Oryctolagus cuniculus: one gene and its partner. The protein of the gene in region 2 purifies or fractionates together with the protein of the main gene of each other region. This does not show direct contact. Links are inferred from orthologs where the notes say so. Each region holds a gene or a part of one and is shown on either strand. Other genes may lie near its edges.

Region 1 (7,541 bases), on a different chromosome or scaffold from region 2:
TCCCAAGAAAGAACATTAAGACTCAACATGACCTAGGTGATTGGCTCATTAAGTCCTCCCCACACATAGGTTTTCCATCATCCCATCCTGCCTGCCTTCTCTAAAGAGAGGTCCCGTCCCCATGCCCACCTGTGCACCCTACTTCCCTTCAAATATGCACGGATTCTATTTGAAACTTAACAGTTGACCTAAAAAAGGTTAAAATAAATCTCTTTTACAGCCCATGTAAAAGGAATAAAGGTATTATGTGTAGGTAAAGGCAGAACTGGAGTTGCCTTTCAGACTAGTAATTTTGACAAAATGAACTTAGGAGAAAATAATCACTCTCTTCCCCCTTCATAAAAAACAGTAAATATGGTTGTTCATGTAACAAGGAGATTTTCAATTAAAACCAAAAATGGGTTTAATTTTCTCCAGTAACAGACTACAAATTTTCAGGGATACCATCCCTTAAAAACAAACAAACAAACAAAAACCACTAAGCTTTAATGAAAATCTAGCTTCCAGAAATTAGGCCTTTTATAATTTTATAAAGGACAGAGTTTTGAAGCTTCTCAGATAACCAGGAAAGCTAATACTTTTATTGACTTGAAGAGCAGAAATCAAGTTTAAGTTACTGTAAATTTTATGAGTAAATAACTGGGATTAAGAGTTAGCAACTAAAGGGAATAGTAAAAAAAGGATTAAAGGGGCCTGTGCTGTGCCCTAGTAGGTTAAGTGACTGCCTGTGGCACTGGCATCCCATATGGGCACCAGTTCAAGTGCCAGATATCCCATTTCCAATCCAGCTCCTTGCTAATGGCCTGGGAAAGCAGTGGAGGACAGCGAGGTGCTTGGACCCCTGCACCCATATGGGAGACCAGGAGGAAGCTCTTGGCTCCTGGTTTCTGACTGGCTCAGCTCCCACCATTGAAGCCATTTGTGAATTCAACCAGTGGATGACTTTCTCCCTCTTGCTGTAATTCTGCCTCTCAAGTAAATAAATAAATCTTTAAAAAAATTTAAAAAGGTAAAAGGATTTAAAAAGACATTTTACGAAATAGTTTTGACACACCTAAATTGCAAATATGCTAGCTCATTTGTAACTTAAATTTTATTTAAGGGGGGTAGTGAGCAAGCAAGCGAGCTCTCACTTGCTGGTTTTACTCCTCGTGTCCTGAAGAAGGGAGTCAGAACAAAATCCAGGTCACCTATGGGTGTAAGAACCCAATTACTTGGGTTATTTTCACTGCTTCCCAGGGTGTGTATTAGTAGGAAGCTGGAGCCAGGAATCAAACCCAGGTACTCCAATGTGGGATGCAGATGTCTAAACTGCTGGGCTAACGGAGTAAAATACTCCCTAATTCATGACTTTTAATACATTAAGTGAGATGTTGGTCTTCAGTGGATTACTTAATAGAAAAATAACATGAATAAAACATGAAAGAGAAGAATATAATTACATACTGAGAACAAGTCAACACATTAAATTTGTATATAAAAATAACCTTAAGCCTTATGCATAAAGTATATTTAATAGTCAAATTAATCTACATAATTTACCATAAATCACAAATGGAAGCATACAAATAATATGAAAATAAATACATTCTTTTTGTATTCCTTTAGTCTCTTCCAAAAGTTTAATATTGTAGAGAAAAATACAACCAAAGTGGGTAAGAGAAAAATAAACATATATACTAATTTTTATCCATTTCAGTTCTAATACATTCCAAGAGAGGTGAAGTTTAAGCATTGCAGTGATAATCACATTTCACTATACAGTGATGCACTGGGTTGGAACAGCTGCCAGCAACAACACTAGCTTTGGAAAAGTTTCTTAAATTACTTCAAATTTTAAAAAATGATGAGAAAACTGTCTCTTTATTTTGTTCATTAGTTGAATGTTTAATTCAGAAAACAACCTGTAAAAAAATGTTTGAGAAGTTTTAATGTTTCATCATCAATGACTGAAATTGCTACTTGGATTTTCATGATAGATGACAAAATTTCTCAACGTACACACAGTGTAGCTTTTTTTTTTCTGCAGCAGGTATTCAAATAGAATTCTGCACACAATTTTTCTAGTGTTCTGAGCCCATATGAAATTTCCTTCAAAGAAAGAGGATGATTCTACCTTACAGAAGGAAAAGGTTTCAAGATAGTAATACTAAGCATTATTTATAAGGATAAGTTTAACAAATAATGTAGTTTATTCTCTGCTGAACTTTTCTATGGAAAGTTGTGCCTACAGAGGCCCACCACCACCACTAACAAATTCAGATTTAATAAAGTAACAAGATGTCTAAGAAAATTACTTAAAACTGTATCTCTATGACTTTGTGGGAGAGAGAGGGGCTGTTTTACTTCGAATTGCCTAGCTTATTTTAATAGCATATTTTTTTTAAAATCCCCAAAATGGAGTAAAATACTCAGAAAGGCATTTTTAATATTACTGTTCTAATATTACTAGAATATCAATACACAGTAAAAAGTATAAAAGAACAGTATAAAAATGAAGGACTCACTAAGAAATCATCTCCATTTCCTAGTTTAATTATGGAGAGTAAAGTATTGCACTTTATTATTCAACACAAAATGATGTAGCCAACAGTAACATACAGGTACACAATTTAATATTTATTATATGCATTTTATATACATTATTTTTCAACAGCTGTATGTTTGCTATGTGGTACAATCTTAAAAACTGGATGATTCATAGTTTGTAAAACAGAAACCTTACAAAACTCATCAAAACTTGCAAACTGATCAGAAAAGTTTTTTGGAAGACTAGAAAAAATACTTTATTGTCTTAATCATGCATCACACAAACAAAATCTTTAGTTACACCATAAAATTAAGCACACCTAAAAAAATAAAACAGGGAAAACTAGTCCAAACACAGATTTCTGTATCCTGATTCAATTATTTTGTGTCCTATTCGTAATGCAAATAAAATTTTACTCCAAATATTTTCAAACAAGATAGTTTTGTTTGGAATCATGGTGAACCAAGATACATATCTTGGGGAGAACCACCCTGGTTTGTAACTTAAACTATAAAATATTCCATTTTTAGTCTATTTTAGACTATTCAAAGAGTTCCAAAATAGATATACAGGTTCCTTTAGCACATTAATAAAAGGATATAAAGACCAACAAAAAGTGAAATAAATAATAGGCCATTAGCAAGATGGATAATCCTTGATAAATAAACTTGTAAATACAGTAAGATGTACAAAATATCACATAGTGATAGGATGCCAAGATTAGTTTTTCTTTTTAAAGAGTTCCTTTGGAGTACTAAACCCCATTGTTTCATTTTAATATACTTAATAGTCCTTGGTTTATGAAGACATTTATATGACGATGAAGGTGATTTAGCATCTTTCTGGAAGGACTTAGCTGAGCTGTATTAGGCAGAAGGAGGAAAGTTAAGTGGTTACAGGGCAGCGGGTCAGTGAGATCTGCTTTAGGGGCGTATAATGCAGACAAACTTCAATACAATCTTGAGCACTGTTGTGACAGGCTAAATATATAAAAAGACTTATAAAAACTAGAATTTTATCCAAACATTTTGTGCAACTAATGCTAAAATATTTTAAGTTAAATTTTCTTTTCTTTTTTTTTTAAAGCAAAATAAGTTTAAAAGGGAATCTGTGGCATTCAACTGATAAACAGAAGATCACTAAGAGATGAAAAACAGCTACTCTTGGAGCTCACTTCCCCCAACAAGAGCACCACATTCCTAACCCTAAGGCAGCACACAGAGTCCAAAAAAAGAGTCTTTTTGTAAGATCAGACTCCACATTGGCTTATAGACACCTTTAAAAAAAAAAAAAAAAAAAACACAAAACACAAAAAACAGAACATATGCTCAGTTCGTATCCAGTACAGGCCACAAATACTGGAGTCCTTTTTTCCTTTTGTCCCATGAAATACACTAATTACAGTTAAATTAATGAGCCTGACATTAAGATGTGATTTCCATCAACTTCGACCTGCCCCGAACAGCCTTCCCCAGGCCGATCACGTGTAGTGTCATATCAGTAACCTTTTCTGATGGCAGTGATGCAGACCCTCTTTCTGTCCAAGCAAATCTTTTGCTATGATGTGAGTTTTTGCTGATTCACACAAAAACTTTGGCAAGGGCATCAGCTCCTGCACTGGCAATATATGCTTTTGATGGATGGAAAGCAACATCATAAATTGATTCATCCAATTTCTTCCTATGAGCTGTTATTTCTTGCACACATGTCTTGCTGTCTAAGTTCCACAATCTAATAGAACAGTCATGACCTGTAAAAGAACAAGCAGTTTATTACTATCAATTCTTCTATAAAGCTTATGGGTAGAGTACAAGAAATTCAAACTTACTTCCAGACATCAAGTAGATTCCATTAGGATCTACTGCTAGACTTGTAACAGCATCCAAATGAGCTACCATAGAATGGATCATTTTACCTAAATACAACAAAGAAGAAATACTAACTTTAGGAATCCGAAGCTACAACACAGCACAGCAATACTGTTTTTATTGCAGAAAAACTATGCAACATAAAATTTACCATTCTAACCATCTGACAGTATATAATTCAGTGGCTTTTAGAACATTCACAAAATTCTATCAGCATCACCACTACTTGGCTTAGTACTTTTTCATCACCAAAAAATGCAAACTCCCTAGCCTTAAGCAATCACTCCCCGTTTCTTCACTCCTTCCAGTCCCTGGCAACCACTACTCTGCTCTCTCTATAGACTGGGCTATTCAGGTTGCTTCATATAAATGGCCTCACACAACCTGTGATAGTTTTCCGTGTCTGGCTTCTTATACTCATTTGTGTAACAAAATTTGGCAGTGTATGAAAGACACTGGAAAACATGACAACTGGGTTGCGTCAAAGGCTCAAGATCATATAAACCATATAAACCAAAGTCAAAATAAAAACAATCTTTCTCAATAAGAAATTAAAAAGTTACTTTTTATATATGGGTTAATGATAAATGTATCGCCTGAAAGAGAAGGGGATAGGAGTATGTCAAAGATATTACTCTGGATTCCTCAGACATTAACAACACTGATCTGGAAAACTAATTTAATGATTATCTTCACCGAAGATACATTTTTTTAAAAGATTTTATTTATTTATTTATTTAAGAGGTTGAGTTAAAGACAAAAGGAGGGAGGGAGGGAGGGAGGGAGGGAGGGAGGGAGACAGGGAGACAGGGAGACAGAGAGAGAGAGAGAGAGAGAGAGAGAGAGAAAGATCTTCTGTCCATTGGTTCACTCCCCAAATGGCTGCAACAACCGGAGCTGGGCCAATCCAAAGCCAGGTGTCAAGAGCTTCCACGTGCATGCAGGGGCCTAAGCACTTGGGCCATCTTCTGCTGCTTTCTCAGGCCATAGCAGAGAGCTGGATCGAAAGTGGAGCAGCTGGGACTCAAACCAGCACCACAGGGAGAGAAAGCCCACTACACCACAGCACTGGCCCCAAGATATAAATATTTTAAAGATTGATTTATTTATTTACAAGGCAGAGTAACAGAGGAGTGGGGGGGAGACACACAGAGAGATTTTCCACCTGCTGATTCACTCCCCCAATGCTTCAAACAGTAAGGGTGGGGCCAGGCCAAAATCAGAAACTTCGTTATAACTCTCCCACGTGGGTGGCAGGGACCCAAGCCTCCAAGGCATTATCCATTGCCTTCCTTAGGTGAATTAGCAAGAAGGTTTATCAGAAGTGGAGTAGCTAGGACTCAAACTAGCCCTCCAAGATGGGGTGTAGGAGCCCCAGCCGGTGGCTCAACAACCTATTGTACCACACCACCTACCCCAAATATATAAATCCTTAAAAACAAAACCTCATTATTTCAAACCACAGGTGGCTATTTCTTATTAACACTAAAATTAATAGGATAGTTTTAGAACTTTTCTGGTAGCCTGAGGAAAATTCACTTAATATACTTTCTTTAGACTGCTGAGGAAAACATGATCCTTCTATGAGTTCTGAAATCCATTTTCAATATTCCTATAAAAGAACCCAGAGTATGAAATTACTGACCACCAGGACAGTAATTTCAATTACTAAGGGTTTCATATCAAGCACCCTTAGCTTTCCCCCGAATGGTCAAATATGACAAAAGATAACATATATGATGGCATCAGCTTAATGTTTTATCTGAAAGGCAGACAGAAATATAAAGGAAACAGAGTGCTCCCATCTGCTAATTCACTCCTCAAAGGCCCACAACATCTGGAGCTGAACCAGGTTGAAGTTGGGAGCCTGGAACTCAACCTGGATTTCCCATATGGGTGGTGCGGACCCACATTCTGAACCTTCTCCTGCTGCCTCCCCTGGTGTGTGCTGAGCTGGGACCCAATAAGGCATCCACTGCTGAGTGTTAACACCCGCTTCTGATGGTAACTCTCATTCACCCAGTTTTGACTTTTCTCTTGAGAACAATCCAGTGTCTCCTAAATGTAACATGTCTTAAACCAAACCTGTCGTCTAACACTCAATGTACTCTTCTCTTCAACAGTGATGCAGTTTTCCAAGTTTAACTCTAGCACTCCTGCCTGTTCACTAAATAAATGCTCACATTAAGTCAACCCAGTGTCTACCCTTGTCCACAGAGTCACAAAGTCACTAAAAAATCTGAAAGATCTCTTCGAAACGTATTATCCCATCAAATGGACCATTTATGAAGACATACTCATGCAATACTGCACACCAAGTTGGATGGTAGGCTCCACTGGGACCACTTATGTCACAAAGCTCCTGACCCCTTCTTCATCAACAAATACCTACAACTTCTTTATAGTAACTTTCATGACTCTGCCACCTTCTTTTTTCCTCTTATACTTGAGGAAGAAAAGAGAAAACACACATAGTCACCTTTTCTCTCCTCCCCAGCACTTGAAGCCCTTTTAATTGGCTAATCCATATTGTGGGTCTCTATGAAATGGAGAGGAAATAAAGATGCATGTAAACTATGGAAGCAAATCTCATGACTCTGAATCCTCACTTGCAACTTTCAAAAAATTTTCATTCACTTGGGAGTGGGGGAGAGAGGGAGGGAGAAGGCATATGCGTGCACTAGAGAACTACTTTTCATCAGCTAGTTTACACCCCAAATGCTCACAACAGTCAGAGCTATGCCAGGCAAGAGTCCTGAATTCCATTGGGGTCTCCCACATTTGAGTGGTAGAGAACCAATTACTTGACCCACCATCTGCTGTCTCCCAGGGTGCACATTAGCAGGAAGCTGGATCAAAAGTACAAGCAGGACTTATCTCAGGCACTCCCATATGGGGTATGGGTGTCCCAAGCAGTAGTTGATTCACTGTGCCACAATGCCTATATCCTAAGCCTGCAATTGTGTCCTACTGTGCATAAATCATGTAATTTCCTTCAGTCCTTTAAGGCCATGTGTGAAACCCTTATGTACGTATTACAAGAGCAAATGGGTGGCCGGCGCTGCGGCTCACTAGGCTAATCCTCCACCTTGCGGCGCTGGCACACCGGGTTCTAGTCCCGGTCGGGGCGCCAGATTCTGTCC
Region 2 (7,541 bases):
CAAGCCCATTTACCAAATTGAAATACCATTCTTTGTAATTACATAGTTAAAGTATTACTTCAGAACGTCTAGCTTCATCATTCAATGCTTTTTTTATGTTTCCCTTCCTGTATATACCTCCATAAACGAAGCTAAAGGAAAGCCCATAGAAAATCATTGAAGTCAGGCAAAAATATCACCTAGAAACAACATTGCTTGTGCTAATTACTGGATTTAATTTCTGCATCCTGCAGTGCTTTGGCAGGAACAGTTTAAAAAAACTTTAAAAATAATGAATTCACTAAGCTCACTAGAATCTTCTTTCTATCTGAATTAATCAACAATCACATGGCTCACATATGCAGTGCTATCTGACTTTGCAGACGAAAACCTATTTTTCTTTACTACCATATGTTCCAGTGCATGGAACTTTAGGATTTGCATTTTAATGAATAATTCCTAGTCTTCCTGAATATATCATTTATAGATGCATAACTTCTTGGTTCTCTTAAAAAATCCAAATTGTTCCAACTATAGAATTTCAGACCAACGACGTTCTCTAAGGACTAAAATCTCCCCTCACAGGAGAATGTGCTAAGCACTGATGCTTTGACTTTTCCCCCATCAGGTATTTCTATTAGACAAATGAGGGCTATTTTGTCCAACCCGAGTGATTGCAGATGGAGGGCTTCATTCAAAAATGTATTTTGCAGTTGCTAGGCTTTAAGTTTCTACGTGCACAATACATTTCATTGTGCATAAAATAATTATTATGTTTTGCTAGCTGCAATAAGATGTTACTGTAAGGAAGTATACAATTGGAATTTTCTAATGTTTAGAAAAACTTTGACTGTCATGAATAAATTCTCCACTATGAGGGCTGGTATTTTGGTGCAGTGGATTAAACTGTGGTTTGCAATGCTGGCACCTTCACATCTGAATTAGCTCCCTGCTGCTGCACCTGGGACAGCAGGCAAAGATGGCCCATGTACTTGTGCTGCTGCCACCCATTTGGGCACCCAAAAGGAGCTTCTGACTCCTGGCTTTGTCCTGCCCTAGCTCAAGTTGTTGCAGCCTTTTGGAGAGCAAGCTAGAAGATGGAAAATCTTTCTCTCTCAAACTTTTCCCACCCACAGTCCCCCATCACTCTGACTTTCAAATAAATAAATACCTTAAAAAAGAATTTCTCCACAACTAAGATAATACTGAAATCCAAATTTATGTTAGTTCCTGACAATGGTAGCGAGGGCTTTGCCTGCCCATCCTTCTGCGTATAGAGATGAAGAGGCGAGAGCCTGCTGGTTTTACCTGCATGTCCATTCGTAGCAGCAGAATACAAGGCAGAATGGCCATCTTCACAGGAGTAATTAGTGTCCAGTCCTTCTTCATTAAGCAGCATTGATAATAAAGTGACATTTCCCTGGGCAGCAGCTTGCTGAAGAAGGGTGGGCCTGCCAGCCAGGGGGGCAGGACCACCACTCATTAGCAAAGGGGTTAGGGAGGGTGACCAGCCTGTAGGTTAAAGTGACTCTCGTTAGAGAGTAGGAGCAAGGACAAGAGACAGCTATTACCTGTTCCTTTCTGAATTGCACACGCACACACACATATACCCACACACAGATGGACACGTATCCCTAGAGGATTATGTGTTTTCTAGAAGGTTCAATCTGTTAATATGTACTTAGGATGAATTTGTCCTGTTATTCCAGAGCTTACATCCATTGCTAATTAAATTAATGCATACACAGTGACAGGTTATTTTAGTCATCGGTTTTGTACAGGTCAGTGTTAAAGTGGTGACTGGTTTTAGGAAACTGAGATGGCTGTCTCATTTTAAAGGTCTAATTCCCCTTCAAGATCTCAAAACAATTTGAGCCTTTTCATTATGTAAAAGTTTCCTCAATGTCAATATAGATTTGCAAAAGCAAACTGGCATTTTCAGGTAAAAGACAGAAATAGTTGTAAGCAATAGAGATTCTCCTTTTTCAGTGATGGCCCTTAAAGTACTTAATAATCTCACATAAATGAATATAGTCCAATCACTGTCAAAAAATCTGTTTACATCCCTTGAATTCCCTTATTTGGGACTAATAATAACGGGGCCAACCATTCTCTGGTATCAAGAACTAGTAGAAATACGACACTTAATAAGTAGATTCAGAATACACTGGTACACATAGTCCATACCCAATTTTGAAGACTGTAAAATCACCTGGCCATCTTTACAACATGACTAACAAACTTTTAATCAGTCAACAAAACAGGACACTCTACCATACAGTTTCAACAAAGATCGTAAGAGTTATCATAGTTAGAGATTTCTCATCAGTATTTAGCAGCTTTAGAAGGGAATCTGGTAAGTGTGTGAAGTCGGCTGTATATAGCATGGAAAATTTTCTGAATTCTTCCTTGATCAAAAGGCTGTAAAAACAGTAAAGTAAAAATGTTTATTTAATGTGATATATTGGATTTTGTGTATTTTAGGCTGAAATACAATGAACGTTTAAGAAGTCATTTTACTTTATTCCAAGCAGGGGTGGGGGATGTCTGGTCCACAGGCCATATATGGCCCATGAAATCATTTGGTCTGGTCCTGCCAAGGGAACCACAGGTGGGACTCGAAATTCAATAGCAGGCTGATTTTTCAGTTGATCATTGTGTGCTGCCCTGGAACAATGTTCTAAATAACCAAATGGCCCCTGGCAGAAAATAAGTTCCCCAGCCCTGATTGGAGCCTCAGCACCTCTCCGTAATTTTGTTATGCATATGTATAAATATTCATTCTTTTGGTCACCCTTTCCACATCTAAATGCTAACATTCCCTTTAGAAAGGCCCACATTATGGATAGTTTATATCTCCTGCACAGTGGTATTAGGACAATATTCTGGGCATTATCATGTGTGAATATCCAGTGCTTATGAATGAATCCTAAATTATTGACCTTAAATAATCTTAATAAATATTAAAAGGTACTTATCAACTTAATTTCTCAGGAGTTTTAAAATTCTTTATGAAAAACAAAATAAAACCATTTATACAAGTTCAACTTTACTGCTTATTAAAAGCTAGATATCATATCTCCATAATCAATTATCTGGGTTCACAAATAAATTATTATTAACCTCTTAGTATTGTAGAGACATACAAAATTAAAATGCCCAAACATTTCAATATTTAATCTAAACTGCATGATATTTTCCCACTGATATTCATTAGCTCTTCTTACAAAAGTAATACTTTTACTTCATACTTACAAGAAGGCTCCTCTCTGGTACATTTTACCTTTTGTATTTTCTTAAAAACAAACAAACAAAAAAAACAGGCCCACAAAAATTAAATCAGTACTTGTTAGAAATGGATGAACAGAGAAATTATAAACACCAAGGTATGAAACCTTGACTGCAAAGCAAACAGGCAATAGGAAGGCATCGCACGATGGTCCTGTGGATCTGAGGAGTATGGCACGTGCTCTCATGCTCTCCCCCTCTCTCTCCCCCTTCTCTCTCTCTCTCTCTCTCTCTCTCTCACACTCACACTCACACACACACACAGCACTCACACACACACACTCAATCATTCTTTCAGACTTTTGATCTTGTACAAGGTTTTTGGTTATTGGTATTCTCTTATGAATACCAACATTTATATATAAAAGTTTGCTCTTCTTTTGGGTTTTATTTACATCTTTCTTTATTCACAATTCTGGGTTTTTTGCAGAGAACAGTTTAAATGTATTTTCAACTGCTTTATATGGAAATACATAATGATGGTAAAACTTCCTGGGAAACCTTATTTTAAGTGTTCTTATCTGAAATATAAAATAGTCTATTCACAATGTTTCTCAATCTTTCAATCAGTGAAGAGTCTGAGATTCTTCTATTACACAAAAGTACAGAAGATGACATGCCAGGACTAAAATATATTTTAAAAATCTTTATAAAAGAAAAGTGTTTTATATTTCTTGTGTATTCATGAATTTTAAATCTTCACTATAATTTTCAATTTTCTCTAGCACAGAAAAGCTTAGTTTTATGAGTCCTGCTATCAATATGGGGAAAAACGAAAAACTTCATTATGAGACTGTACTGTTCATCTGAAATCCCATCCATGATCAAAATGGTAATATATAGATAACTGGTCCTGTAATGGCAGAGCAGACCTATATTGAAACAGCTACCCTAGTGATGTGAGAGGAAGGTCACTCAGCCTCGCCACGTGGCATGCAAACATTAGTAAGAGTGAGCATTTGCAGAGCATGCCAGGAGGGGAGGAATGGACAGGGCATGCAATGGCATGGAAGAGTACTTGCAAACAGCTTCTGGCATCAGCTTCAGAGGGTGAAGAAGGTTAATGTCATAGCCCAGGTCATTCTTATTTTCTCGTTTAGCCTTTAAGCCAATCTTACATAGCAAATAATTTTAAAAATACATGTTTAATGAAGTGAAAGTGTCCGAAGCAAATTCAATCAAATGTGTCAAATAATAATAAAACAGAAGAAAAAATTCCAAGGGTATGGAAACTCAGCTGCCTGCTGTCATTTCTAGCTGAAATGTGCTCATTTGACTAGTTTAGTTAAGAATAAGAAATTCTAAGTCATTCTGAATTTAAGACATTATTTAAAATTTTAACATTTGGCCATAGATGTTGCCCAAAGAGTTAGGGTGATTCACGACATGATTCAGTAAACTTCATTCCAATGCTCCTCGTGGATCCACTTAAGACAACCGTTACAGATGTTGGCTGGTACAGACACACAGAACCCTAGAGTTGGAAAGATCACGGGATCTAGTAGTTGTGTTGTTTGAAAAATCAGCCAACTTTAAGACAGCTTTTGGTTTGGAAAGAATAGTAAATTTTTTGGTTCAATGCTTTCACTTTTAGGTAGAAAAGCTAATTATAGCTCAGGGAGACAATTAGTTCTCCAGGGGGAGGAAATTGATGAATCTTCTTTCTTACACTGAATTCAGTACTCCTTTGATCAGGAAAATGGAAACAGACATCTGCCAGGTGTTTGGGAGATGTGCCCTCTCCCCACACCCTGCTCATAACAGCCACAATGACCTCAGTGGCTGTTTAGGTTAATACCTCCAGTGGGCTTACACCCTTGGGGAGCACAAGCTCACCCAGGCACAGACAGGTCCAGGGGCAGGATGGAGGGAGCACTGGTGCTTCCCAGTTGCAACAGGAATGGTAGTAAAGACAAGGGCAATCTAAATGGAAAACAGACTTGGAATCTGGTGCCTCATCTGGAAAGTTCAGACTGACGTGAACTTTCCATGGCTGTTATACAGCTGTGTACCCCCAATGTGTAAAAAAATTTCCATTCTCTGAACAGATGAGGTGTTCGTAAACTCTTACTGAAGGACTAAAGTCTCCAGTGCTTCCGCACCTCCCTAAGAAGCCAGATCTTACAATCGAAGGACATCCATGGACACCTGTCAATTCACCAGAGGTAAGTACCAAGCAATTTTGAGAACACTTTGGCCAAATGTGAAAATCAGAGAATAGAAGAAAAGGAACCAATTTCAAGGGCATTATTTTCATAGCACCCAGGGTTTATTTATCCAAAGTTCAATGATATCCTAGGCAGATCATTCTGATGAATATAGATATCAGGTTAAAATTCTTTGTCTTTAAAGGTGAACTGAAAATCCTCTTGACAAACTGGCTTGTCAGTCACGGATCCTGCTCTGCTGAACCCAAGGGGCAGTTGGACCTGGAGCCACAGAAATGACCACAGCAACAACTGACAAAGCCTCAAGACATCAAAGCAAAAATAAGTTTGCATTTTTAAAGACTCCCAAAACATACATCCTCAAAAGTATTCTCTATTTTGTAAACAATGCAGCTCTGTCATTAGCACTGCCACTGCTCCAAACATTTTTAGAATTTCTATTCTGTGATTGTCTAACAATCTTATAGTACGTGCTCTTATTCTCATGAGCAGTAGCAAACAACTCCTCTTATGAAGGTGGATTTAACTTGAGAGAAATATACAATATTATTTTAGGCCAAAATAAAGGTTGTTCAGCTCAGTAATACCATCTAGACAAAAAAAATGGATTGTTGACTACTTATGAAGACATCTAAAGTCAATTCTAAAGCAAATTCTCAAAAATGCTGAAAGCAAAGCGGTATCCTCAAAGCAGTACTGTCATCTCTATTGACTGATTGCCTGGGTCATTCCAAGCTCAATACCACGCTCACTGATGTGTTACAGCATTTGACCCTCCTAACAGCCACCCTCCACATAAAAGCAGCTCAAGCTCCATAGTAAGAAAGTGGAAACTTGCTCAGTTGCAGAAAAATCACCAGCAATGCAGTTGTAAGTGGCACAGCCTGGATTCCAAGGGAGATCTGACTTAATTTCAAAGTCCATGCTATAGGTCAGTCCTGATGTGCTGTTCAAATCACCTGAGAGTAAGCAAATCAAGTGGGTATTTTCCAGTTCCTACTCTCCCCTCTAAGTTTTAAAGTCAGCACTATTCAACCCTTCTTTAAGTTAAGTTGCCTGCCATTAGAATCGCCAGTCTCCACGAAGCACTCAAATCTGATGGTGGGAGAGACACCTCTCAAGCTTCAACAGAACTCTGGCACTCTCAGGTTATTTTGGGGCATCTTTGCTCTGTGACAAATTAATCCAGGCATGTCAATAAAAAAGCAATGCTTCCCCCAGCTCTGCACAGCACAAGGGAGAAACTGACATTCTTTGTTCCAGAGTCCCAGATACAGTGACTTCACAAACCGCATCTGCAACGGGAACCTTCTCTAACAAAACCCACGTGCTGCTCTCCATCTGTGGGCAAACGGTGCCAGGCAACAGCCCTCATAGGGTATACGGCTTGTGGGAGAAACTAAATTTAGAACAAAGATTTATAAATAATCACACTCCATCGTTGGGGGTTAAAAGACACAACAACAACAACCTCCCCCATAAAACTCACATTAAAGCTTAGTATATGCCAATTACAGAACAAATCTAATCAGTACAATCATCCAGGGTAGCGTTATCATTACTCAAAAGGATTTTTTGTGGTATCCTGGAAGAAACAGACCTGAAAACATCCTGTCTGTTGAGAACCCACTAATATTGCAGGCTTGGGAGATAAACATTTAATAAGAGGGAACCCTCCTTCCTCCCAGGGAAATGATTTTAGTCCCTAAATTAATGGTCTCCATGTGCATCAAACCACGACTTTCAGGTTATTTTACAAGAAGAAAGCACTTAGCCCAATGAAACTGTAATTCATACAGCAAGATGAATCACCATACCCTGGAGCCTTTAAAGAAAAAGACAAAAAAGAAAGACATCAAGGGGGAAAAAAAGCATCAAATTAAAAATAAAACAAAACAAAAAGATTCCCAGGTAATGTGGAGGAAATGAAGGCAAGTGAGAGGACAGGTCGCAATCTTAAAAAAAAAAAAAAAGAAAAGAAAAAAAAGGCTGTAATATTTCAATCCCTTTACCTGATGCTGTTACCAGGAGGCTGTCTGAGGCACCTGGCCTACTGGTTGAGGCACTAACAGGGTTTATGGAAGAGCGAAAGGCAATGGTGTTGGG

The links.
Region 1: the proteins of CTTNBP2 (region 2) and STRN3 purify together in Homo sapiens (affinity purification with mass spectrometry; 4 studies listed by BioGRID and IntAct, with this or other methods). This does not show direct contact. The link is inferred for Oryctolagus cuniculus from reciprocal best matches to the Homo sapiens genes CTTNBP2 and STRN3.

What each region holds. Positions count from the first base shown.
Region 1 is NC_091443.1:44,438,617-44,446,157, reverse strand, and holds the end of STRN3 (striatin-3), read right to left. Parts: intron 4,446-7,541; coding exon 4,359-4,445; intron 4,281-4,358; coding exon 4,111-4,280; 3' UTR 2,515-4,110; downstream 1-2,514. UniProt on the Homo sapiens protein: Calmodulin-binding scaffolding protein which is the center of the striatin-interacting phosphatase and kinase (STRIPAK) complexes.
Region 2 is NC_091434.1:153,386,194-153,393,734, forward strand, and holds part of CTTNBP2 (cortactin-binding protein 2), read right to left. Parts: coding exon 7,448-7,541; intron 7,419-7,447; exon of another isoform or gene 2,254-7,418; intron 1,492-2,253; coding exon 1,288-1,491; intron 1-1,287. UniProt on the Homo sapiens protein: Regulates the dendritic spine distribution of CTTN/cortactin in hippocampal neurons, and thus controls dendritic spinogenesis and dendritic spine maintenance.